3 linked regions of the Arabidopsis thaliana genome follow. The protein of the gene in region 1 interacts with the protein of each later gene in a pairwise test. Each region holds a gene or a part of one and is shown in the gene's direction. Other genes may lie near its edges. The genes, in order: UREF, AR401 and AT1G49840.

Region 1 (7,819 bases):
AATTCAACGTAGCATGTTCTGGTCGTCTTACTAGATATAGACTCGAACAGATAGTTAGAGAAGGATGATTGATCGCTTGTGGATCCGTGGCATGTGTAATAGATATTATTTAAAACTAGTAATCAGATTTTAAAAAAAATACTGTGAACAGAGAATCTATATTTGTTTGTTAAGAAAAAATCAAATTAGTTTTTGGACGTGTTGGCCGAGAAACATCCACTTGTAGCATTCGTAATTAAAAAGAGAATGTATCCGAATATAAGGGACCCATTAATACAAGTCATCTTCCTTTGGTATGTATGTGTGAGTGAGTGATTTTGGAGGTCTCTCTCCATATTCGACAATATATTCAATTCTATCTCCTCACTTTCACTTCAAGTTTATTTCTTTCTAACAACTTGATCGAAATTTCGGCGTATAGTTGTTTACATTTAGAAACAATTGTCAAAATATTTAAATCAAATCCTCAAACTTTTTGTTTTTAGAAACTCAATTTTCATTTGAACTTAGAATTCATCATGTCGACGTTCAGTTCAAACCAACATTTTTTGATAATTAATGAATAGACTCATGCATGTGTTAGTACAAATGATTTTAGTTTTCATTATATTTCCGTGTGAGAATTATTATGTTTCTTCATAACTTTAAATGGCTCTCACATCCATCACATGGGCAATTCTCCATTATCAAGACTATATCGCTTCATAAGCAATTCTTTCTTCTTTGGGCGAAACAAAAGATCAGATTTAGCTTCGGGTTTGATGAAACTTCTCCCTATTTGCTAATCATCTCGAAAATTGCTCAAATTAAGTCTTCTATTTGTCTTCACAAATTTCAAATCACGTGCTTATAATCCAAATGGGAATTGAATAAGTAAGTAAATAAATCATGATTAAAGCTTAGGAGCTAGATTGACCTAGTTTATAAAAGTTGGGGTCTGGATGTGAACATAAAAGGGGTCCATTTTATTTGTTGGTCAAAAACTTTGAGCGTTCACGTGATCTTAAAAAATAAAAAGAAGAAGACAGGCTTCAATATCAAGAGCTAAAGACCCAAACACTTAGAGAGACATTGACAGGTGATTTGTTATGTGTAGTGATGAGTTTCAATGTATCATCACTTTTTCAATTAGACCACCATCCCACATACTTCCTCTACACTATATACTACTACTCACAATGATCAAAGCTTTTAGTGTATGACTTGATTAAATAACAAATGCTTTTCAAACCAATTTGGACCGGTTCCGTCGGACGGGTCCGAACATGACAAATTGAAGAAAATCACATTTTAAACAAACTTTTGTCGCTGTTCATATATGCTGATTTTATTCAAAATAAGAGATAAGAGATAATTAACTTTTTATATTCAAGGAAATTACCTGTCTATTGATTTGTGGTCCGAATGGTTTGATCAATTGATCAGAAAGAAAATGTTGTAATGTTGATTAAAAATAGTTGTTTTGGGTCTTGGACTTATTTGACGTTTTGAGAACATTTTTTGCTAATATGTACGATTATCTACAATTTTGTCCAATATACCTTTTTCTAAACATAACGTTATGCCTGAATATAGATTTCAACATATTGTTGCATAGTTAATTCGATAAAAAAAACTCTTGCTCAGTCCACTTCTTGATAGATCTTCACATGGCCATTATTCAGATCCGTGTAATTAATTATACGATCTTATCAATTTTGAAGGAATAAAAGGAGTCCTAGAAGGTTATCTATAAAAGAACACACAAAGAAAAAGGACCTTTTTATATAAGAAAAAGTGAAGTTAAGAACAAAATACTAAAAAGAATGATCACATGGGAGGAATGGAGAATCTTTGGGTAGGATTCAAGTAATGTTCCCATTATGGGATTTTATGGTATGGGTATCATATTTGTGGGCCACTTCTCTGTTTTCAATTTGAGTCTTTTACCAAAAAAAATCTGTAAGGTTTTTTTGTAAAGTGTTTTCAATTTAAGTATTTATCATCACATGGGGAAAGACAAGGAAACAATAGGATAAGAGACGACAGTAGCGATCAAGATCCTACGATTATGTCTCTTTTGAGCTTAGAGATCCTGTGACCAAATTTAATTAACTGATCTGGATTTGGTATCGTTACAGTATTCATATCCACATAACCATTTAATAGATTTTAATCCAATAGATCTATGTTGCTTTACAAAGAAATATCTGTAATAACATGTGGTTACAAAAAAACCAAAATTGGAATATGGTATATCTGTAAGCTATGATTTGTTTTTTCACAGTAATATTTTGTTTGGACAACTAAAAAAGTAAAGTACAACTAAACTCTACAGAATTTGTTGGCTATATACAGAGAGAAACAAAAAACATATTTAAAACAATTGCTAAAATTGACAACATTAGTTTCACTATATAAATCACCTAGACTAACCCAATATTACCCACCAAATCATCTTCTTCACAATTATAAACAGGAAATACAAAACAAGTTGTAATACTCATTTGTATTAAATCATCACTAGTATTTACGTTATGACGACTCAAACATGCAATGTTTTCATGTTCGTAGCTATATTGACGATGATGTTTTCTGCACACATTGCTCAATCAAACAGTCTAACAATGTGTGTGAAACATTGTGCACATAACCGGTGTTTGAAAGCGGCGAAAAATTCTACTCCTGAAATTTGTGATGAAACTTGCAAGAAAATCTGCAACAATCAACTATTCGGTGGTAAAAAATTTATTGTACCTCCTCCTAAGGGAAGCTCCCACTTCTGTAGATGGTTGCCTCAGTTTTGTTAATTCCACGAAAAAAATTTCGATGTTTTATTTTTTGCATGACTATTTTTTTTGTAAAACTTTATGCATGACTAAGTTATTAATTTGTATCTACTTAATTCATCGTCCTTATTAAACAAGCGTTTATGTGAACAAAAACATTTACCCTAAAAAAATATTTCGATTTAACTAAACTAGGTCAACTCAAATATATACATAACCATTGGTTATTAGATCTTTTGAGTCTTCTCCAAAGACTTAATAACCATTTGTCGCGATAACATCGATACATCAAGAATAAAAATGTGACTTGAAATCATCATCAAACAACTATTACAAAACTTATTAACAAACAAAACTTTTATTAAAAAAAAAAAAAAAAAGAACAACTGCAATTCAATAACACAGTATACAATCAAACAATCTATCAGCAAACAGTTTGGTTCGCTTAGACGCAAACCGGTCGGTTATCGTTTGGTTTCGAAGTGAACCGTAAAAAACAAATCAAGTTGAATTAATAATGTTTAGTTCCTTCTTCTCGTCTTCCGTCGGAGTTATATCTCTCCGCCTCTGTCTCCGTCGAGACTCTGAAGTCTATATCTCTCTATCACTCATCTTCTCCGACGCCTCTCGTTCATCCAAAAAGCTTTCCTATCTGTAGATTTTTCAATCCCTTTTTTTAGCGATTCAGATCTTTAGATTATTTTTTTCCCGATCGATTTCATTGAGCATACTCTGTTTTCATCTCACCTGTTCAATGGAATCAAGACTCCGAATTTATCTAAAGAGTCTTGATATAGTCACTTTTGTATAGTTTTGTTTCAATTTCTTAGATTATCAAAGTTTCAAAAATCGCTTTTTTAGATCGAAACATTGCTCTGATTGTTTCTCTATATTAATGCATCATTGTGTGTGTTTAACTTCTCTTTAGAAAGAGGTCTCATTGATGGAAGAAGACGAAAGACGCGACATTGTTATGTCAAGAGCTTCTTCTTGTATGCAGTGGAGTCAGTGGCAATTACTTGATTCAATTTTACCAACAGGAGGATTTGCTCATTCGTTTGGTCTCGAAGCAGCTATTCAGACTCGGTTAGTTTCGTCTCCTGAAGATTTAGAAACTCACATCATTCATGTGTTGGATAACACAGCTAGCTTATTGCTTCCTTTTGTCTACTCTGCTCTCAAATCTCCTGATATAGAGACATGGCATAAACTTGATGGAATACTTAACGCTACTTTAACTAACCAAGTTTCTTCAAAGGCGTCAATGTCACAAGGATCAGCTTTGTTTCGTATAGCTGCTTCGGTTTTTACTGAGGTACCAAATCTTAAGATGATTCGTGATGCTTCTTTGGGGTCAAAAAATGTATGTTTCCACCATGCACCGATATTCGGGCTTGTATGTGGTTTACTCGGCATGGATTCCGAGACTTCTCAGAGAGCGTATCTGTTTGTAACGCTCAGAGATGTTCTTTCTGCTGCAACGAGATTGAACATAGTTGGACCGATGGGTGCTTCGGTGATGCAGCATCGCATTGCCATTGTTACTGAAACCGTTTTAGAGAAGTGGATGAATCGTGAAGCTGGTGAAGCATGTCAGACTTCTCCTTTGCTGGATGTTGTGCAAGGTTGTCACGGTTACTTGTTTTCTAGACTGTTTTGCTCTTGATGAAAACATATGATATAACCTCACTTAGGTTACATCGATTAGTGCATATTGTTAATTGTTTGTAGTTTATGTGCTTATTGTTAATTTTTCAGTTGGATCATATATGTGTATTTGTAGACAAATCTGTTTTTATTTCGTTATTACTAATCAACAATATATATGTGACCTAGAATCCATAAGGAAATATGAAATGTGTTTCAGAAAGTCATTGCAATCGTCTATCAAAACCTCTCACTTCCTTCACTCAGAGGACCGGGTGTCGTGGTGTGGTGGCCAGTGGCCCTGCCGCAGAGAAGAGCGTTCTTCGGGATCAAGTACTCATCTCTGAGGGAAGTGGAGGGTGTGTAAACACGCATGTAAAACTGTTGTCCCAGGTATTGTCTTTCCCATAACTCTGATCTTAGGTTCCACATTCCTACATTGTCCAGTGATACGTATATGGCAGTCCATGATCTTGGATACACCTGCACAAATTCATCCAATGATCCACCTTTTTTATAACCCATACTGAGCTTTTATGGCTAACTGTGTGATCAAAATATATAAGGCTTTAGAGGACTCTCACCTGAACAGTGCACCGTGAGACTGCGTCGTTTAGATTGTAGACTTTTCTACTGGCAGCACTCCACTTCCCAAGTTCCATCCTAATTGTTACCAAGTGATCATCAGTCAATAGTCTTGAAAATGTACACAACTTTCGATTTTCTTAAGAACTCTATCTTGGTTTAGAGAATGCTACCAAATTTTACCGTGTGGATGCAAATATGATTGTTTAACTTACCCAACCACGAAGAAAGAGTAACCGTCGAGGTGCCAGGTCTGGACAATATCTTCCCAATTCTCGAAAACAATCTCCACAAAAGCTTTGTAATCAGTTTGCATAACAGATGTGACAGGGTATATTGCTCCATGTGTGGGCTGATCAGGTATGCTTCCAGGGTTGTATACACCGGCAATTTTGAAGTAGTCCGCTAGTTTCAAAGGTGTGTCTGTTGGGTAGAATGATGCACTATTCACCGCGTATCGTTGCTTGCCATTGATATTTCCAGCAGAGCTAGCAAGTTTGATTGTTCGAGTGACTTTTATCTTGCCATAGTGGTATGTACCTTGTGGGTTTGGCCTAGGTCCACTCGCTGCAAGGTTGGTCCTATAAGACACAAACAAACCCGCTCAAACACGGTTGTATACCACTAAGTAACTAACAAAGATTGTAATTGTCAATGAAAGAATGAAACAATACAAAAAAAAAAAAAAAAAAAAAAAAAATGAAACAATACTTGATGGCTCGTGCTTGGTCAAAAGACCAGCGCAACTGAATTGGTGCTTCTGGAATAGGTCCAGAAACAGGTCCAGCAGAATTACTGTAATGAAGAACACCAGCGGTAATAAGGATCTTCGAGGTAAACCTACTAGAGACCACAATGTAATAATCTTTTGCAGGCTGGTCAGCTGTTATAAGGACCGAGTAAGATTGACCGACGTGAACATCAAGCGAAGAGAATGGAGTCTGAATAGTGTGTGTCCCTTCGACCTCAACTAACTTCATCTTGTGGTTTTGGATTCGGAAGTTGAGAGAGTTTTGCAATCCAACATTTGATATCCTCAGTCTATAAGTCTTACCTACAGAAAAACTCACATCATAACTTATTAACACTTACAGTCAGAGAATCACCAATAAACAAGACAAGAAAGGTGAAAAAGCAAAACCTGGTTCAATGTTGAGGGTGGCGCCACTACCGCGCCCATTGATGAGAATTCCATCCGGGAATGGAAGCTTTCCACCATTATCGAGTTGTGCTCTCAAGTCCTATAAGGAGAGATTACAATTTTTAATTCCAAAATTCCAACAAGCAACAACGTTTAAGTACAGATATACATCATGCATGCAGCTTTCCAAATTTGTTAAAAACACAAACACTTTGTCCCATTCTCTAAGTCTAACCCGACAACAAAATATAATCATTTTATCGCCCTACTATTTCTTTCCCCTTTTCTTGCGCCATACGTAAGAGGGGAATCGTACCTTATGGTTGGTTTTGTACCAGTCACCGATGAGAACGGTGTAATCACCAGCGGGGGCTGGGAATGGAACGGGGATTCTGGGGCGGCTGGAGATACGAATAGCTCCAAATCCACCGGCGGCTTTGTGAAAGCCGAGAGAGGGGAAGTAGTAGAAACTTCCAATCTGATCTTTAACCTGAAGAGCGTAGGTGTAGTTTTTCCCCGGCGGGATTGGACACGTCGTCCCGTACACTCCGTCCTGGTATGAATTCCTCCAGTTTCGAATCCCGCTCCTTTACAAAAAGACATCAAATAGGAACAATGAGTCCTCTGCTAAGAATTTCATGTATAAACGCCATGCAAATATATACACCGTCTAAATTTAAATTGAAGCATTATATATATGATCCCAAATTTTTGGTTGTTATCTATTACGGAACGATTTATACCATATAGATGCAACTGACATATATATCTAATATATGAATTTGAACACATAAATAAACTAAAGTTATGTGTCTTTTTCTTACAGCCTTAACTCTAAGCAAGAGATTACAAAAGAAAACTAGACATTCGTTTTTTTGTATAAGGAAAAGGAAACATATATACCATGATATAAGGAAAGGTTCGTCGAGATGGTTGAATACGTTAATGATGAGATTATCATTGGTAACAGCGGCGATGTCCGGTCCTGGGAACTTCCCATTGATCAATATACCCTAGTAGATAAAACGGTAAACAAACTTAAATCCAATTAACAAACCAACAAATAATTTGGTGTGGATACGGTTAAAGATAAATCACCTGTTGTGCAACCTTGAGCGGAGATATGTTACCATAAGTTACGTGCCATTCGAAGAATTTATACGGATCTTCCGCAGCGACGAAGCTGATTAGAAAAAATAGACCAAGTATCATCGCCGTGGTGTTCACGCTTTTGACCTCCATTTTTTATGTTTGACGAAGAGGATGTGACAACGTTTATATATGTGTTGTGTCATGTTTGGGAGAAAAAAATATTAATGGAAATGCAAAGTTGAATAACATGTTCAAAGATGCAGTCAAACAATTTTCGTTTTCTTCACACCTATATTTTGTTGACTTGAAAAATCTTTGAACATACAATATCATAAGAAGTTAGTTCCCAAAGTAATACTCTCAAAGACAAACGAAAATCCAAAAGATACTGGATTTTAGAAGTAATACTCTCACTAGGTTTCAGAATTCACCAAGTCGTAATATTGACTAAAAATAGTAAAATACTAACTATTCAGAGACGAAGCCTTTTGTTCCTAACAATTTGATACTACGCAGGATAAAAGCCTACACCGTACAGCTCTTTCAAGACTTTCTTAAACATGAATCCCAAAATAAAAATATATAA
Region 2 (7,306 bases), about 17 Mb from region 1:
GAGATATATATATATATATTGATGTTGGTTAAAATTCCATTGTTTAGTTAGAAAATAACAAATAATTACATCAAAAAATTGAGAGCATGATTTTTGTTTGTTTTACGATTAGTTCTTTGTGTTAGTATATTTTAGTAATATAAAATTGACTTTTAAAAATACTAGTCATCTGTTTAAATGTTCTTTTAGACTAGAAATTTTCTTTTATTCTAGCGTCATTTTGTGTATTTTCTTATAGTATTTAGATTAGATTTATAGCTCTTTCTCTATTATTGTAAGAGTTAATTGTGTATAAGCCACCGAAAATTAAAAAACTTCTACAAAAAACAAACTTTTTCTATGTATACACATAACTCACCGTTGCTATTGATAGAAATTCGATCCGTACATAGGTGTCCAAACTCTGTTTTTTTCTTGAGATTGTCAAACACAAAACCAAATATATAATATTTATTTAAATTTGAATAGCTATAATTCCAAAAATATTTGTTAGTTAAGTTTATCGTCCAACTTTCAAATTAGAAGCAAATGTTTATTATAGTATTATAATTGTTGTGTATAGTAACTGACAAAAACAGTTTTCAGATGGGATACTAAACTTATAATAATTATTCAACTAACTATATACTCCATTATTAATTAAAAAAAAGGGCTATCTTCATGTATAACACAAATTATATATGCATATATAGTACCTTACATCGCAACCACCGATCGAATTTCTCATCTTGTTCAAACAATATAAAATTATCCAATGTTGAACATTCTTCTTTGACGGCTAAGATTTTGCTAGTTACTTGGACAAATCTACTAATACAGTGTAACTTGCATAAATTAATATTTGATAAATTAATAATCTCTGTAAATTTATAAATTTTTCCGATCCGAGTTGGGGCTAGTGTAAATAATGACAGAAATCGATAAATTAATAAGATAATAACTTTTTTGAAAGTTCTATGTAAATATATGGTCCCATCAATATCATAAATTAATAACTACATAAATGTATCAATTATATATATATATATATATATATATATATATATTATATAAGAAATTGTTTTGAAATATATTTATAATTTTTTTTTGCTTAAATTTGTATTTATTCTTATTTGAAATTTAGTTATAATATGTAACGGTCTCAAAAAAATTTAGTGTTGTTTTCTAGACACATTATTTTTTATTTGTAATTGATTCTAGAAAGACATTTTGTATAGTGAAAAAAGTCTTATGGAATTTTTTAAAAATTACCAAATTAGGAGAATCTCTCTATAAATTAATAAATATTAATTTATCGATAAATTAAAACCTCTTTAAATTAAAAAATTTTGCAGTCCCAACATTATTAATTTATAGAGGTTTTACTGTACTTCACTTTCTATGTAGATCATAACCCGTGTTACATCACGTGTAATCTTTGTTTTTATTCAATAAAATTGTAAATTTTGTTTTTTGAAGTAAACAAATATTTTGGTGTGTACTTATATGGGTACTGGACTACTGGTCCTTATTAATAATACAACTTTGAGAAAAAAAAAAGAAGTAAACAAATATTATAAAAATTTGGACTCTTTCTTCTCAAACAATTGGCCATCCATGGCTTCTTTGAAGGCTATGATCTACATTGACAAATCTGCTAGAAGTACATGATTACAGATAATTTTACAAACTAATGTTATTTAATTGCGATAAATCAAAACATTTCTTTTGGTTCTAAATTAAGTTTTCGACAATTTATATATCACTAAAATACCATAATCCTGAATTTATTAAATTGTTAAAATTCTACTGAAACATTTCTTACTTCAATTTCTAAACCTTATTTGTGTTTCAATTTCCATATAACTATTTAACACATATCATAGTCTAATTGATTATGTCATATATGGAACGTTATGTTGAACGCATTCAAGTTCCTATAATAAATAAGCTGTTGTTTTCTTTTGACGAGTTTCCCATGCACATGTTTAATTAGTTCTCAGTATATTGCCTTTCAAGCACTATATATATAAGCATAGAGAGAGGTCTATGGACTCACTACTCTCATCATAAACTAAAGTTAAACAAGAAAAGAAGTTTGAGATAAAACAGAGAGATATATAATGACTACTACTCAAGATTGGATCATGATTGGTGGATATGGCCCTGAAAGTTACAACCAACAGTCATCGTATCAGGTTCATACATTTATATGATTTGCAAATTTTCATAACTAGCTAGCAAGGTTCTTAACTCCAAAGATGTATGTATTTAACTGAGTCTCCTCTATATAAAGAGAGCTTTGTTGGAAGCGGCAAAGGACAAGATGACCGAGGCGATCTCCGCCAACCTCGACCTAGACTTGATTTCGAATCGCTTCATTGTAGCGGATTTCGGTTGTGCAAGTGGACCTAACACTTTTGTGGCAGTCCAAAACATAATAGATGCCGTGGAAGAGAAGTATCTTAGAGAAACCGGACAAAACCCGGAGGATAACATCGAGTTCCAAGTCCTCTTCAACGACTTAAGAATCAATGACTTCAACACTCTCTTCCAGACACTCCCTCCGGGGAGAAGATACTTTAGCGCCGGGGTTCCTGGTTCCTTCTTCAACCGTGTTCTTCCTAAGCAGAGTTTCCACATCGCAGTCATGAGTTACGCATTCCTTTTCACCTCCAAAATCCCCAAAGGGATCATGGACCGCGACTCTCCGTTGTGGAACAAAGACATGCAGTGCACCGGGTTCAACCCCGCTGTGAAGAAAGCCTATCTTGAGCAGTACTCTATTGACACCAAAAACCTTTTGGATGCTAGAGCTGAGGAGCTCATGCCCGGGGGATTGATGTTGCTTTTAGGATCGTGTATGAGAGACGGAGTTAAGATGTCCGAGACCCTTAAAGGAACAGTAATGGATTTTATTGGAGAATCTCTTAATGACCTTGCTCAAAAGGTACGTAATGTGATTTTTAAAGTATTACCTACAATTGCATATGAAGTAAGTACGAACTAACATTATCTCTTTTTAATATAAAAAGGGTGTCACCGAACAGGAAAAGGTGGACACTTTCAAAACCTCAATCTACTTTGCAGAACAAGGCGAGATAAGGCAAATCATTGAGGAGAATGGGAAGTTCACAATCGAGGCTTTCGAGGATATCATTCACTCTAAGAATGAGTTTCCGCTAGACCCCAAGACATTGGCCATCTCCTTCAAGGCCTTATATGGTGCTTTTATATCCGCACATTTTGGAATCGAAGTCATGAGGAAAGCCTTTGAGCTTGTTGAGGTCAAGGCACGCGAACAGATTTCTCGCCTCCATAAGGTCAAACCCGGGATGCAATACCTCATCGTGCTTCGCAAGAACTGATCCAAATATATTGTTAATATGATTTCATTGTTGATTCTCTTCTTTCGTCGATCTTATGGTGCTTTGTCGTCTTTTCTTCTTGTTGTTTTGTAATATTCTCCACTATCCTACAAATGAATAAAACTTCACTTTATGCTTATACGTATAACGAGTATTGTTGATGAATGATGTATATGGATCGTATAACGTTATTCCATAAGAGCTAAATAAAAAGTTTGCCTACTTTGACTAGACATTTTTTACAAACACTTCTGTTTTCTTGCGAATAGTATTTTCTTTGAGCTTATCAGATAAATGTCTACAGTCTACACTAAATGTCTAAAATCATAAGACCTTTCGCAAGTATAATAACTTTGACCAAAATAGTTTAATGATTTCTTTCTAGTATAATTTTAATTATATTTTGTAATAAAAATGATTCATAACAATAATTAACAAATAATCAAGAAAAAAAAAACTTACCAAAATATTTTTTTGTGTTAAAATACTTTTTCCTAGAAACATTAATATTTATGTCTCAAAGTAATAAAGAAAAGAGAAGATTTGTTATATATATACAATACAAGTGAAGGATTATCACGAGTAGGGGTTTCATTTTCAGCTTCGACTGCGTCAAAAAAAAAAAAGGAACCGTACTGTTTATTCTCTGTGGCGTTGAATCTGCGATGGCGGGAATCAGATTGCTACCGGAAGAACCTGAGACGACTCCTCAACAACAAGCCAGAGCCGCCGCCGCGGTGACAACGACAACAACGGATAGTTTGGCTTCCGATGACGATCGATCTATCGCGGCGGATTCGTGGTCGATCAAAAGTGAGTATGGAAGCACTCTCGATGACGATCAACGTCACGCCGATGCCGCCGAGGCTCTCTCGTCCGCTAACTTCCGTGTCTCTTCCGATTACAGGTTTCGTATTTCTGCTACAATGGGGGAGAATTGTATAGAGTTATGGATTAGATTGAGAAATTGGGGATCTTAGGGTTTTATGTTGATGTTCTAAAATACGTTAGGCGCTTGTTAAAGTCGAATCTATCGAGTAATTGATGAATTGGATTGGTGTGTATAGTTCTGATAAGGAAGAGCCAGATGCTGATGGAGGAGGTCAATCAATGCTTGGTCTTCAAAGCTATTGGGATGCAGCGTATTCCGATGAGCTTACTAATTTCAGAGAGCATGGTCATGCTGGTGAAGTTTGGTAACTTTCTTCAGATCTCACTATGGAACTTAAGAGAGAAGATCCTAGCTATTGATTTATTTTTTTCTTTTCGCAATTTTAGGTTTGGAGATGATGTGATGGAGATTGTTACTTCTTGGACTAAAGACTTATGCGTTGAGATTTCTCAAAGAAACATGTCTGTTTCTGAAAACGATGTTACGACAGAGGTGAATGATCAGGCTGATAAGTATTTGTCTAGTTGGAATGTGCTTGATCTTGGTACTGGAAATGGCTTACTCCTTCATCAACTTGCTAAGGAAGGGTGAGTTTTCTAAACATTTTCTCATGCTCTGGCTTTAAATGCTTAACTTTGTTGTTTCAATCGAAGAAGCTCTATGGACTATGGATAATGCTATTTGTTAATTTTCACTAGCCTGATTACCACTCGGTTAGTATGAGAAGTTTAGAATCATGTAGCATTTATAGTAAACAAGCTATCATAATGTACTGGTTTTTGTCTGCTTCCTAGAACTTCTATTGAATTTCTTGTTTATAGAGGATCCCTAGATGGTGGCCGTGTATCACTAGCCTTTTGGGAATATAACGGCCACAGTGAACTTTGATGATTATAGGTTCTGAACCATTGTTTGTCACGATAAAGAAAAATTCCATAGAAAATAATGTAGAAATTCAGAAGTCAGCCTCTCTCTGAGGCGTAAGTCCCCTATGCAGTGATACAAAAATGTTACTATATCTTTATACCTAAGGCATTTCGTGCTTGTTTCGTCAGTGTTATGAAAGCCAAACTGTCCTGAATGTGGTATTGCTATTAAACTTTATCACTGATAATTGTTAGTTATGTAGAACAATTACACACCAACACATTTCTAACCAGAATCTTATGTTTAGACTCTACTCTTGTTTTGACATTACTAATCTCATCATCCTTGCACTTTTCTGGCTTAGGTTCTCTGATTTAACCGGAACTGATTACAGTGACGGGGCTGTAGAACTCGCTCAACATCTTTCCCAACGTGATGGCTTTCCAAATATCCGTTTCATGGTATGAATTTGTTAGCTTCAATATAAAAAAGAGTTACAGAACCCAACTACAAAAAGTCTGCCTCCACAAAAGTCTAAATGCTGTCTCTTCTTTCTTGAAAATGGTTACTTACCTTGATCAAGCAATGGGATACGTACGTTACATGAAATTAACATCTAGTAGTACAGGACACAGAAATCTTCTCTATGAACTAGTAATCCTTACTGTAATGAGCATCAGTAGCAAATTGTTTTTTGGGAAATATAGATCTAAGGTGCTCTACGTTGTGGAACTAACGGTTGGCTCTCATAGGTTGATGATATCCTTGACACAAAATTGGAACAGCAGTTCAAGCTGGTAATGGACAAAGGAACTTTAGATGCTATTGGTTTGCATCCTGATGGCCCTGTCAAAAGGTACCTCCTCCTTAGATTGCTATCCTTTATAGTAAATTACCGCACTTTCTTTCTGTTACCTAGCACACAATTAGGTTTGGTTACCAATAACAATCCCATTTGTCTGTTTCAGAGTCATGTACTGGGATTCAGTGTCCAAGCTGGTTGCTCCTGGTGGAATATTGGTAAGAGCATCTCGACTCCTGAATAAGATTTAGGTTATAAGCAGCTAAAGCACATAAGTTTAAGCTGTTAGAAAGAAACCAAAGGCTCTTGTTTCCCGTTTTGCTTGCTATAGAACACCTTAAACAACTGCATCTATGTCTAATCTCAATTTCTTTCTGCTTCTGTTAAAGGTGATCACATCGTGTAACCACACAAAGGACGAACTGGTGGAAGAAGTAGAGAATTTCAACATCAGAAAATCCAACTTATGTAGAGGAGATGGAAATGACGCAAACAATGTACTTTCCTCTGGCTCTGAAGCTGCAAGCAGAATTGATCAACCTCCGTTTGAGTATCTCAGCCATGTTAGGACATACCCGACGTTCATGTTCAGTGGGTCTGTAGGATCGCGTGTGGCAACGGTTGCTTTTCTGCGGAAGTGAGAACAAACCTGTTGGATTTGTTTTAACATAATGCCCAGACCTTTTCTCTTCTTTTTATGTTGGTGTCAAGCAAGACTGTTGATGTGCTTTTGGGAGTTCTTAATAACCTCTAAAGTTCTTTTAAGAGAAAACTGATTTGGTCATATGTCAGTGTTTTTTTTCTTTCTTTTTTGATGTTAAAGTATGTGTCATAGACTAATTCAAAAATCAAAGAAATTAGTAATTTGAAAACAAAATGAGTGGATTCACTTGTTCCTTGAAAAAAGAATAAAACCGACAAAAAGAAAGATTACTATTAGAACCGAACCACATTTAATCTGCAGTCTACTCCATATTAGATTAGATTATTCGATTTTGTTTCGGATAAACTCGGATTTTTTTGGATTGAAACACTCTTACATTTTCTTAGTTATTAGATAACGAATTAAACAAGTTGAAGCATAAAATCCAAAATTGTTAGAATTGGAAGTTAGTACTTGAGTTTGATGTTTAAGATTGAAACTTGTAATGTGTAAATCTTATAAAAGAGTAGAAAAATCATACACGTTAGACACAAAATTGTACATTTCCATGGACGAAAAAACGACAGCGTTTTGAATCTAAGGAAAAAAAAACATCCAGAAACAGTCCCATCAGTTGCTTTTCTTCATCCTCTTTAGCAAAAAATCTCAGAACTCAAAAAAAAAACATCCAACACCAAAGACAATGGAGATGAGTTTGCGTCTCGCTTCATCTTCAACCTCAAACCCAATTTGTC
Region 3 (9,491 bases), about 11 Mb from region 1:
ATCATCATCACGCGTTTATATCATCAAATTGGAAGAGATTATCGACGGAATTTGTCTCTTATCCATCGTGCTCATCATCTCAACCGACGGTGCTCAACGTCGACTAGTTTGGTGAACTTAATCGGAGAGGACTGTGAACCAAATCGGAGATGGGGTTTGTCACTTTTCGGGGTCTCTTATCTCAGTTGAAGTTGCTTTGTACCAGTGTTGTATCAAAAATTCAGAATCATTATCTTCTTTGCATCTTTTTGGAGTTATCAAGGAATCAAACCCATTTTATCATTGCAGGTAACGTGGATATATGAAGCAGATGTTTTTGGTGAATGATAAGTGCTTAACCATGATTGAACCACAGAAGAAATGGTCAAAAAGAATAGAAGAATTGATAAGTGCGTTACTTAGATTTAGGAGATCAAGCTCCACGTTTCCATATTCCCACTTTGTTAATAATGTTCTTTGTTTTTAGGATTAGTTGTCGATCCCCTTTGCTTTACTTTGTGTACTTAAAGACTGCCAAGTTATGAGAAGGAATTAGACTTGATTTGCCAAAAGAAACTTGTGTTTGTGTTGTGTGTTTACACATTCTCTTAGCTTTGAAGAGGGACCACCTAACAGGGAATCAGAGTTTTGTAAATAGAACCGTCACGGTAACGTCGAAATATTTTTTGAGTCAGAGACATTGATGAGTACATGAATCCTAATAGCTTTGTGTATAGGAATTGTCCCTCCGTAAGATGCCTTGCTCATAATTTCCTTAACCTGGTAAGTTCTTCACATTGCTTATTTCAATTGATGCTTTCTTATGGTTAGAGATCTCAAAAATTTTCATGCTTAATATTTCGAGTTCTAGTCACAATTATTTACTTTGATCCTTGTATACGATTACATCAGTCGTGTCTTTAAGTTCTCTGTAGTTGAAGCTAAGTTGCGTTAAGGGCTTTTAAATAACATTTATTTGGTGATTTATGAGTGTTTGGTGTTGTATGTGATTACATTTGTGGCTAAGAGACGAAATGTATGTATGTTTCAATCTTATGTGGGTTAGGGGTAGAAGAAATCATGGGATTGGTCGAACTAGGCCTGGTTAGATTCTTGTTGATCTTCAGATGGAGAACAAGATCACCAAAGACATGGCTCAGGATGAATTGGAAACTTGAGCAGAGTCTAGAAGATAAATATAGTTCCTTGGACTTGATTTTGTTGGTTTTTATTTTCTCTGGAAAAAAATGTTGATCTTTTAAGGTTTCTCTGAAAATCCCTAATGAGATTCTACCATTGGAGGAGGAAAAAATAAGAATCTCCTTATGAAGTCTTTAACTTTGAATTATGCAAAAAATATGATTAATATATTGAAAATCCTTAATTAGGGACTCTACCAATGGGGGTGTTCTAAGAGACGTTAGTTTTGTTCTCTTAGTGGAACGCGTCATGTTATTTTCTGATACGGCCCATTCAATATATACTTTTTTTTATCCCTTTTTCTTTTTAATACAAAAACCAAGATAGTGCAAATTTCTAAATATACAATTTTATTCTATCTATAATTGCAATTTTCGTTTCATGTATTTAACTAAAAAAAAAGAAGGAAAATGTATTTCAATTTTTGTAAAATTTTATATGTATTTTTATTTTATAACTATTAACTGAATAGCATATAATTTCAACTATAAGTGAAACATTACTGATCAAATAACATGAACATGTAGTTGAGTTTAATATTCAACTAGATTTTAACCCACGGTGTAAAAAAAACTGAAAATTTTTTTTTTTTATAAATTATTTATATGTAACATATTATTTTGTATTTTATAAATATATAATTCTAATTTTGATATATTGTACAATCCCTTGATTTTATCATGGGATACACCATAAGTCGATTTTTAAATTATATATGTTTTTGTTAAGATTGTTTGTTTTGTTATATATTTTAAATTATATAACTGTATTTTAATTGTTAGTTATAGGATTTCACTCATTGTATACCGTCTCGTATTACTATAAACCCAAATCCGTCTTACCTCAGTGAAATTAAATATATTTAATGGATTTCACCAGTGATATACTGTCTCATATTACTATCGATCCAAACCCGTCATACCATCTAACCCCGTTCAGTAAAATAAAACATTATTTTATTATTTTTGTTTTAATAATACTTTAATTTAAAATATATATAATTCATATCAATTTAAAAATTTTATTTGAAATGCTTATTTAATTGTTATAAAGTTCATATATTATAATATTCTAAATCCGTTCTACCATCTAATCCGTTCGGTGAAATTAAATATTATTATTTTATTTTTTGTTTAAATAATATTTTTATTAAAAGATTTATAATTCAAATCAATTTAAAAGGTGTCTTTCAAATGATTATTTAATTTTTATAGATTTCTTATTTTATAAATATTCTAAACATTTTTTCCTATAAATATTATAAACGTTTAATTTAATAAATACAATATTTACCTTTTAATAAAGTATAATATTAATAATGTTGTGAATGATTATGTGTAGCTAATTTTAAGGAATTTGATTTGAAGTTTGTTGTTGGGATTAAATTTGAATGATAACGTGATTGATATTTTAAATCAAAAATTAAAAATCAAATCAAATAATTAAAAATTTAATGTCAGTAGCATATCATTGTAAATAAGTTTCAACTATAGGATTTATTTTACAAAATGGCTGCAAAAATGTATATGTAAATGAAAAGTTGGAAATAATAATATCTCGCCTAGTTAATAAGAGATATCAGCCAATATTTTTTATTGTCAGTTGGTGTTAAGTTGAAAGTTCGTAATTAAAATCCAAACACGGTTTAACATGATGGCATGTGATTTCTTGAAACATTCAATCCAAAATATACCTCTCTATATGTTCGTTAAAAGCCTGGAATCATAAAAGAAGCTAGTTAGACTAATAAATGACGTCAACAAGGAAAAACAATATTCGAGTAATACATCTTTCGTTGGTATGATGTCAATTAACATTTTATGAATAGGGGATAAGTGTTAGTCGACTGTTAAACTAAGATTTCTTAAAACATTTTTTTTTGTCAGGATCCATGAAGGTTTAGGAGTCGGAAAATTGATTATCAAGAATCAGTGAATCACACATGCACACCAATGTCCCCAATTAATTACTTTTTAGCATTTGGGGGAGACAGATAGTATTGAATTTGTTGCAATAGTTTTGATTGACCCAAAGGTTTATATATACGAATCATAACTTAGCTGTAACCACTATATAATAACAATGGAAACAGTTAACGAGTCTGTTATTGTTTTGTTAAAAGAAGGATTTGTGTGTTTTTTCTATGTTCTTTTGACCGTTAGAAGTGAGAACCTCAAAGACATTCACGTGGTTCCTTTAATATGTTTAAGTTTAGTTTCATCACACGTTTCAAGCTTTCAAACTATGATTAATTAATCATCATATATAGTGGCCACTTTTAATTATTCACCTACGTAGCTTCATTGTAAATTTGTAACCTATATTTTAGTTTCAACATTTTACTCCGATTAAATATCTATCGATTGTTCTGATTTGTGCATATATACATATCAATTATACTAAACACTTAAATAGCGGATATCTTAACATTCTGTTAATTTAAAAACTTATAAATTGTCATGGTTTATACTAGCAAGTCAAATCGTTTAGCTATATTAAAGAACTGGACTAGAAAAGGCCTTTTTCTCAAGTTTACTCTAGATTTTCGTTTTCCTCCTTCACATTTACCCTACATATACTCGTTTATATGATGAATTAGCACCAATAATTTACTAGTGTTGTTTAACCGTCCATTTCAGCCAAACCGTCTTCTTACTCTAAATATTTATCTACAAGAAAATATAGATCATAACAATCTCGTTAAAACGATGATTACCGATCGAACCCATTTCTTGAGAATTAATACACAACCCGATTGGAAAAAGCAAACATTAAATCAAAGACCATCTAATTGTAATTGTCTACCATCCATAACGGTGCCACTAGCAATCCCACACTTAAACACAAAAGTCCATTGTCAATTAGTCTTTATTTCAAATACGTTTCTCACATCATTCCCACACACACTTCTTAGAATTAAATGATGAAACACGAAAATATCATCTACCTTTTTTCTTTTCTTGTATTCGCGATTTGATACTCTTCACCTAAACTTATCAAAAACAATCACAAACTTAAAAAGTTAAGACGATAACGAACTAACGAACCAACGCATTTTGACAATGATGTTCCCACTTCTAAACTTAGCCGCGTTAAATCCATTCACTTTTTGTTTTTTTCCCCCAAATACTAAAGAGGGCAAAATAGTCATTTACCGATAAAATCCTTTTCCTCTGTAGTCTCGCTCTCTGGATTCTTCACTCACTCGGGTCCTTTAAAAGTATCGTCAAAACGCTCTCTCTCTCTTCTTCTCCGCTGCGACTTCTTCCTCTCTCGTTCTCCGGCGACTCTGTCCTTTTAGGGTTTTTCGAACTCTTCAATTTGTTTCGGTTACGAGGAAGAAGAAGACGAAAGGTTACATTTTTAAGAGTCCATAAAAAATGGAAAAGAAACAAGGTTTTTTCTCATCACTCAGAGACGAAGTCGTAAGAGGCTTATCTCCTTCTCGTTCAAGACCACGTTCTCGTTCCGCAAGCCCGTCTCGTTCAACAACCCCACACATGAAAGCTCTTCTCTGGGGAAGAAAGAAACTAATCGCAAGCTCCGGCTGCAGCGGCGGCGGAGGAGTAATCGGAGGAGAAAGAGGAGGTTATTACTTGTCGCAACCTGAGCCGTTTATTGGAAGATCCAGTAGTTTAAGACCAGTAATGGAAGGTCCTGATCCAGATAACGGTGAAGTCTCTGGAGTGGATTCGAAACGACTCGGGTCGGGTTTAAGTCATTGGGTCAAAGGTCAGTGGTCACGTGCTCCGTCCGTGACTTCAACTACGCCGGCTTATCGGAAGTCTGATTTGAGACTTCTTCTCGGTGTTATGGGAGCTCCTCTCGCTCCCATTAACGTCTCTTCCTCCAGTCATCTTCTTCATCTCACCATCAGAGACTCTCCCACTGTTAGTCTCTGATTATTCTCATTGTTACATTTCTAAATTTTTAGGGTTTTGGGAAGTAAAAACACAAACTTTATGTTTTTAATCCGATAAAAATCGTAAATTTATGATTCCAGATCTCTCTGCTCCACATTTTCGATTTAATTTCTTGTTTATGATTTTTTTTTCCTTTTTTGGTTTTTAGTTAAAAATCTTATTTTTGGATGATTTATGGATTGGTTGGTGGAATATTGTCATTATCTGGTGGGGGTTTGATTCATGTAATACTCAGAGATTAGTTACTCAAACAAAATTCGATTTTTGTTTCTATTATTGTGTAAATTTTGTTTCTCTCTGGTGATATGTTGTTTGCAGGAAACATCATCTGCACAGTACATTTTGCAACAGTACACGGCGGCTTGTGGTGGCCACAAGTTACATAACGCCATTAAGAACGCTTATGCTATGGGTAAGTTAAAGATGATAACTTCAGAGCTTGAAACTCCTACAGGAACTGTTAGAAACCGAAACTCTACAAAGTCGGAAACTGGTGGGTTTGTTCTCTGGCAGATGAATCCTGATATGTGGTACGTTGAGCTCTCTGTTGGTGGTAGTAAAGTTCGTGCTGGCTGTAATGGGAAGCTTGTTTGGCGACATACTCCTTGGCTTGGTTCTCACACTGCTAAAGGACCCGTCAGGCCTCTTCGTCGTGCACTTCAGGTTAATCCCCAAACACTAAAACTTACATGGTTTTGAAATCAATCCAATGCTGATTCTGTTATGTTAAATGATGTTTCAGGGACTTGATCCGAGAACTACTGCTACTATGTTTGCTGAATCGAAATGTGTTGGAGAGAGGAAGGTGAATGGTGAAGATTGTTTCATTTTGAAGCTATGTACTGATCCTGAAACGCTAAGGGCGAGGAGTGAAGGACCAGCAGAGATTGTAAGACACATCCTTTTCGGTTACTTCAGCCAAAGAACAGGACTTCTAGCTCAAATTGAGGATTCGCAGTTGACTCGAATCCAATCTAACGATGGTGATGCTGTTTACTGGGAGACCACGATCAATTCGTCTCTAGACGACTACAAACAGGTGGAAGGGATCATGATTGCTCACTCTGGACGCTCTGTTGTTACCCTCTTCAGATTTGGGGAAGTTGCTATGAGCCACACTAGGACAAAGATGGAGGAAAGATGGACCATTGAAGAAGTCGCTTTCAATGTTCCTGGTCTGTCTCTAGATTGCTTTATCCCACCCGCTGATCTTCGGTCTGGTTCGTTAACTGAAGCCTGCGAGTACTCGGGTCAAGAGGAGAAAGGGAAGAGCTCACTAGCGTTGGCTTCAACAACAGCTCATAGAGCTAAAGTTGCAGCCTTGGAGAAAGGAAGCTTCGACAATGATCCTGTTTGGCATATTGATGTCTGAGTATGGTAGGGAAGATGCAATCTGTGCATAGTAATCCTAATAACAAGACTCGAGCCTTGAAATGAGACTAACTAACCCCTTTGTTTAACAGCTCAAATATTAGGAGTTTGATTACACGATTGGTTTATTTAAGTTTCATTTCTCTTATTTTCTTTGTCGCCTTCAATATTATTGAGTAAGGTGATGGGATTTATTTGCAGCAAGAGAAGGAGAATTGCTGCTTAAATGTTGAATTTGTCTCATATTTTTCTAGCAAGTCAAAATTTCAATCTATGGAAAGTTAATTGTTAGCAAGTGAAGCTCTCTTATCTTCTTCAGCTTTCGTTGATTTTAAACTGAACTAAACCGTTTTAAGTTGGTTGAATTTGAATCATATAGGTTTTAATGTTGTCGAAGACATGAAATTGATGTGATAGAAAAAGAAAGGCAGGACATTCTTAATGTATGTATTGTTAATTTTAGTGGTTAGAGAGTGAGGTGTGTTAGGTACCCAATAGAGAAAGTGATGGTTAGGAGCAAATAAATGGGATTTTATGAAAGGAATTGAAGATGATGATCATGAATTTATGAAGAAAGGGGTCCATTTTGATATGCTTTTGTAGCAAAAAATAGCTTTTTGTGCACAACTGTCTTCTCCTTTTAGCCTTAACTTTGTTTTAAAGTTCTCTTTTTTTTGGCATAACTTTCTTTTAAAGTTGTTATAAATTGATTGAATCTTTTGATATTAGACTTCAATATATGTAACGTACATGGATGTATGATAATGACAACGTTTTGGAAGAGGAAGCAAAGCTTTAAAGTAGTATCACCAGATTGAGACAATCAAAATTTCTGAAAATGAAAACGTTAAGTTGTTGAGCTATAACCTCAAAGCATAACCAAATTGTCGGATCAAGATTTGGATTTGGAAAAAGTCTCTTTCATATAACCAACAAGACATTAAAAGAGAGATCACAGTGAATAAAACTAAAAAGATTCACACCATACGATATCAACGCTTGAACTGCCTAATGGCACAACAAAAACCATTACAAACATGTGACAGTAAAAAAAACACTCATGGGCGACAAAACTCAGAAGATCGTTTTAAGGATGTCTATAGCAAGAAGAAGAGAAGATGTGTATGGCTATGGCCTAATGGTTAGGCAAAGATTCTATTTACAAGTTTCTATTCCTTTGCTATGGCTCTACGGCAACAAGGACAATCTCCACAAGCTCTAAGCCAAGGGTTTAAGCAAGAAGAATGGAAACTATGGGTACAGGGTAAGGATATTAGCATGTCACCTTTAGTGAAACTCTCTAAACATATGCTACAATCTCTCATCTCGGATTTAACCTCGGCTGAGCTAAAAGTTTGCCGGTGTAAACAGTTAATAGCATCTTGAGTAAGACCTTGTGGTTTCTTGTTGCATTCATAGGTCACTTGAAGCCCTGCTAGTTGAAAAATTGGATCTCCATCTATAGAATGAAATGAAGACTCCCTTTGATCATCCAATGAAACTCTGTTGCTTCGACTGAATCAGAAAAACAAAGTTGAAACAAATCCGTAACCAAATTTTGAAAAAGAGGCTTCAAAGAAGATATTAAAGAATACACAAAGCAACAATAATCCACAAAAACTGATTTTTACACTAAGTCTTGACCAATCCTCACAAGAAACAAGAGCAAAATCAAAACATGCTTCAAAGAATCTTGATCAGACAAAAGCAATTATTTTTAAAGAAATCTAAAATCAGACTAGAGTGCAGATCAAGTAAAGCTGTAAAATTTATCAGTGGGTTAAGCACAGACCTGTTACTAGACAAAGAAACACCTCTCAATCTTTCGAAAAGTCTATCCCTTGCAAGCAGAACAGCTCCAGGAAGCCTCTCGGATCCATTTAGGTTAACAAAGCTGCTACTCTGAGTTTCAGTATCAGTACTATCCGTATTTAAATACTGACTAGTGCCTTGAACATCACGAATAGGTCTACTACGTTCCTGAATCTGTAAATTAGGGGAGATTTTAGTAAAAAGGACCAAATTCAGACAACTACTGAAATTAGTAATTACTAATTTGGTGGAAAGTAACTAACCGGATGGTGAAAGAAGCGTCGGAGACGGGGAGTGGGTCGCCGGAGAGGATCACAGCCGTCGGAATCATGACGCTGATTATGATGATGGACGCCGTGACGGCGATGATGATGGTGTGAGTGGTGTCGATAGGAAGAAGTGTCGGATTCTAAAGCCGGGTCGGATCGACCCGGACGTGATCTTCGTGTAGAGAAGAGTTCCGATGCGCTCGTCATGCACCGATCAATCACCAAATTCGTTTATATGATCTGAAACTAAGTGCAGCGAGTCAGAGACGATGAGATAAGGAGGACAGAGAGAGAGAAGAGAGAAAATTGCGAGGAAAAAGTAAAGGGAAACTGCAGTGAAAAGGTGACGTCATCTCCCACTTGCTGTCGGAGCTAAGACAAAACATCTTTAAAAACGGTGTCGCTGTAATAAAAAACTAAGGGGAAAAGCCCAATTATTGGGCCTATCCAAGTAAAGTCCACTAATACATAGGTCCCAAGAAAACGGGGAGAGCATTATGAAACACTAAACTGAATAAATGGAGAAATTGACGGAAAAAAAGGGAAAAAATGTTGTTTAATATACCAACTTTCAAAAAGTGGCCATTTAAACTATGAACTCCATATATGGCCAAATAAAACTTAGTAAAAGCGTTGATCGGCCATTTTATATATTCCAAAACATTGATCCGGCCAAAAACCCTGCGACGTTAGCAGTCGTTAATAGAGTCGATAATAGGCGTTAGCAGACGTTAATTAATCCGTTTAAACACAAACGACGTCGTTTTGTGTTTAATCGAAACCAACAAAATTCCCAATTCGATTCTCAATCCCTAAAATCCCCAATTCCAATTCTCATGCCCTAAAATTCCCAAATTCAAAAATCTTCAAAAGCCTCTCCATTTTTGTTCGTTTGAAGATTTTTGTGTTTAAACGGATTAATTAACGCCTGCTAACG

Evidence for each region.
Region 2: the proteins of UREF (region 1) and AR401 interact in a two-hybrid assay, tested with the Arabidopsis thaliana proteins (one large-scale study listed by BioGRID).
Region 3: the proteins of UREF (region 1) and AT1G49840 interact in a two-hybrid assay, tested with the Arabidopsis thaliana proteins (one large-scale study listed by BioGRID).

What each region holds. Positions count from the first base shown.
Region 1 is NC_003070.9:7,663,148-7,670,966, forward strand, and holds UREF (urease accessory protein F), read left to right. Parts: upstream 1-3,299; 5' UTR 3,300-3,422; exon of another isoform or gene 3,423-3,696; 5' UTR 3,697-3,711; coding exon 3,712-4,434; 3' UTR 4,435-4,647; downstream 4,648-7,819. Other genes in the region: AT1G21835 (Plant thionin family protein), read left to right, coding at 2,517-2,789; sks8 (SKU5 similar 8), read right to left, coding at 4,656-4,898, 5,000-5,078, 5,216-5,581, 5,712-6,054, 6,142-6,241, 6,458-6,728, 7,045-7,154, 7,240-7,383. UniProt on the Arabidopsis thaliana protein: Required for the maturation and activation of urease via the functional incorporation of the urease nickel metallocenter.
Region 2 is NC_003070.9:24,865,595-24,872,900, reverse strand, and holds AR401 (S-adenosyl-L-methionine-dependent methyltransferases superfamily protein), read left to right. Parts: upstream 1-3,813; 5' UTR 3,814-4,012; coding exon 4,013-4,254; intron 4,255-4,414; coding exon 4,415-4,543; intron 4,544-4,625; coding exon 4,626-4,826; intron 4,827-5,470; coding exon 5,471-5,567; intron 5,568-5,858; coding exon 5,859-5,962; intron 5,963-6,074; coding exon 6,075-6,126; intron 6,127-6,297; coding exon 6,298-6,549; 3' UTR 6,550-6,806; downstream 6,807-7,306. Other genes in the region: AT1G66690 (S-adenosyl-L-methionine-dependent methyltransferases superfamily protein), read left to right, coding at 2,103-2,177, 2,276-2,929, 3,015-3,347; CLPP3 (CLP protease proteolytic subunit 3), read left to right, coding at 7,255-7,306.
Region 3 is NC_003070.9:18,447,684-18,457,174, forward strand, and holds AT1G49840 (glutamyl-tRNA (Gln) amidotransferase subunit A (DUF620)), read left to right. Parts: upstream 1-4,062; 5' UTR 4,063-4,559; coding exon 4,560-5,069; intron 5,070-5,420; coding exon 5,421-5,765; intron 5,766-5,844; coding exon 5,845-6,474; 3' UTR 6,475-6,780; downstream 6,781-9,491. Other genes in the region: AT1G49850 (RING/U-box superfamily protein), read right to left, coding at 7,643-7,988, 8,266-8,459, 8,549-8,761.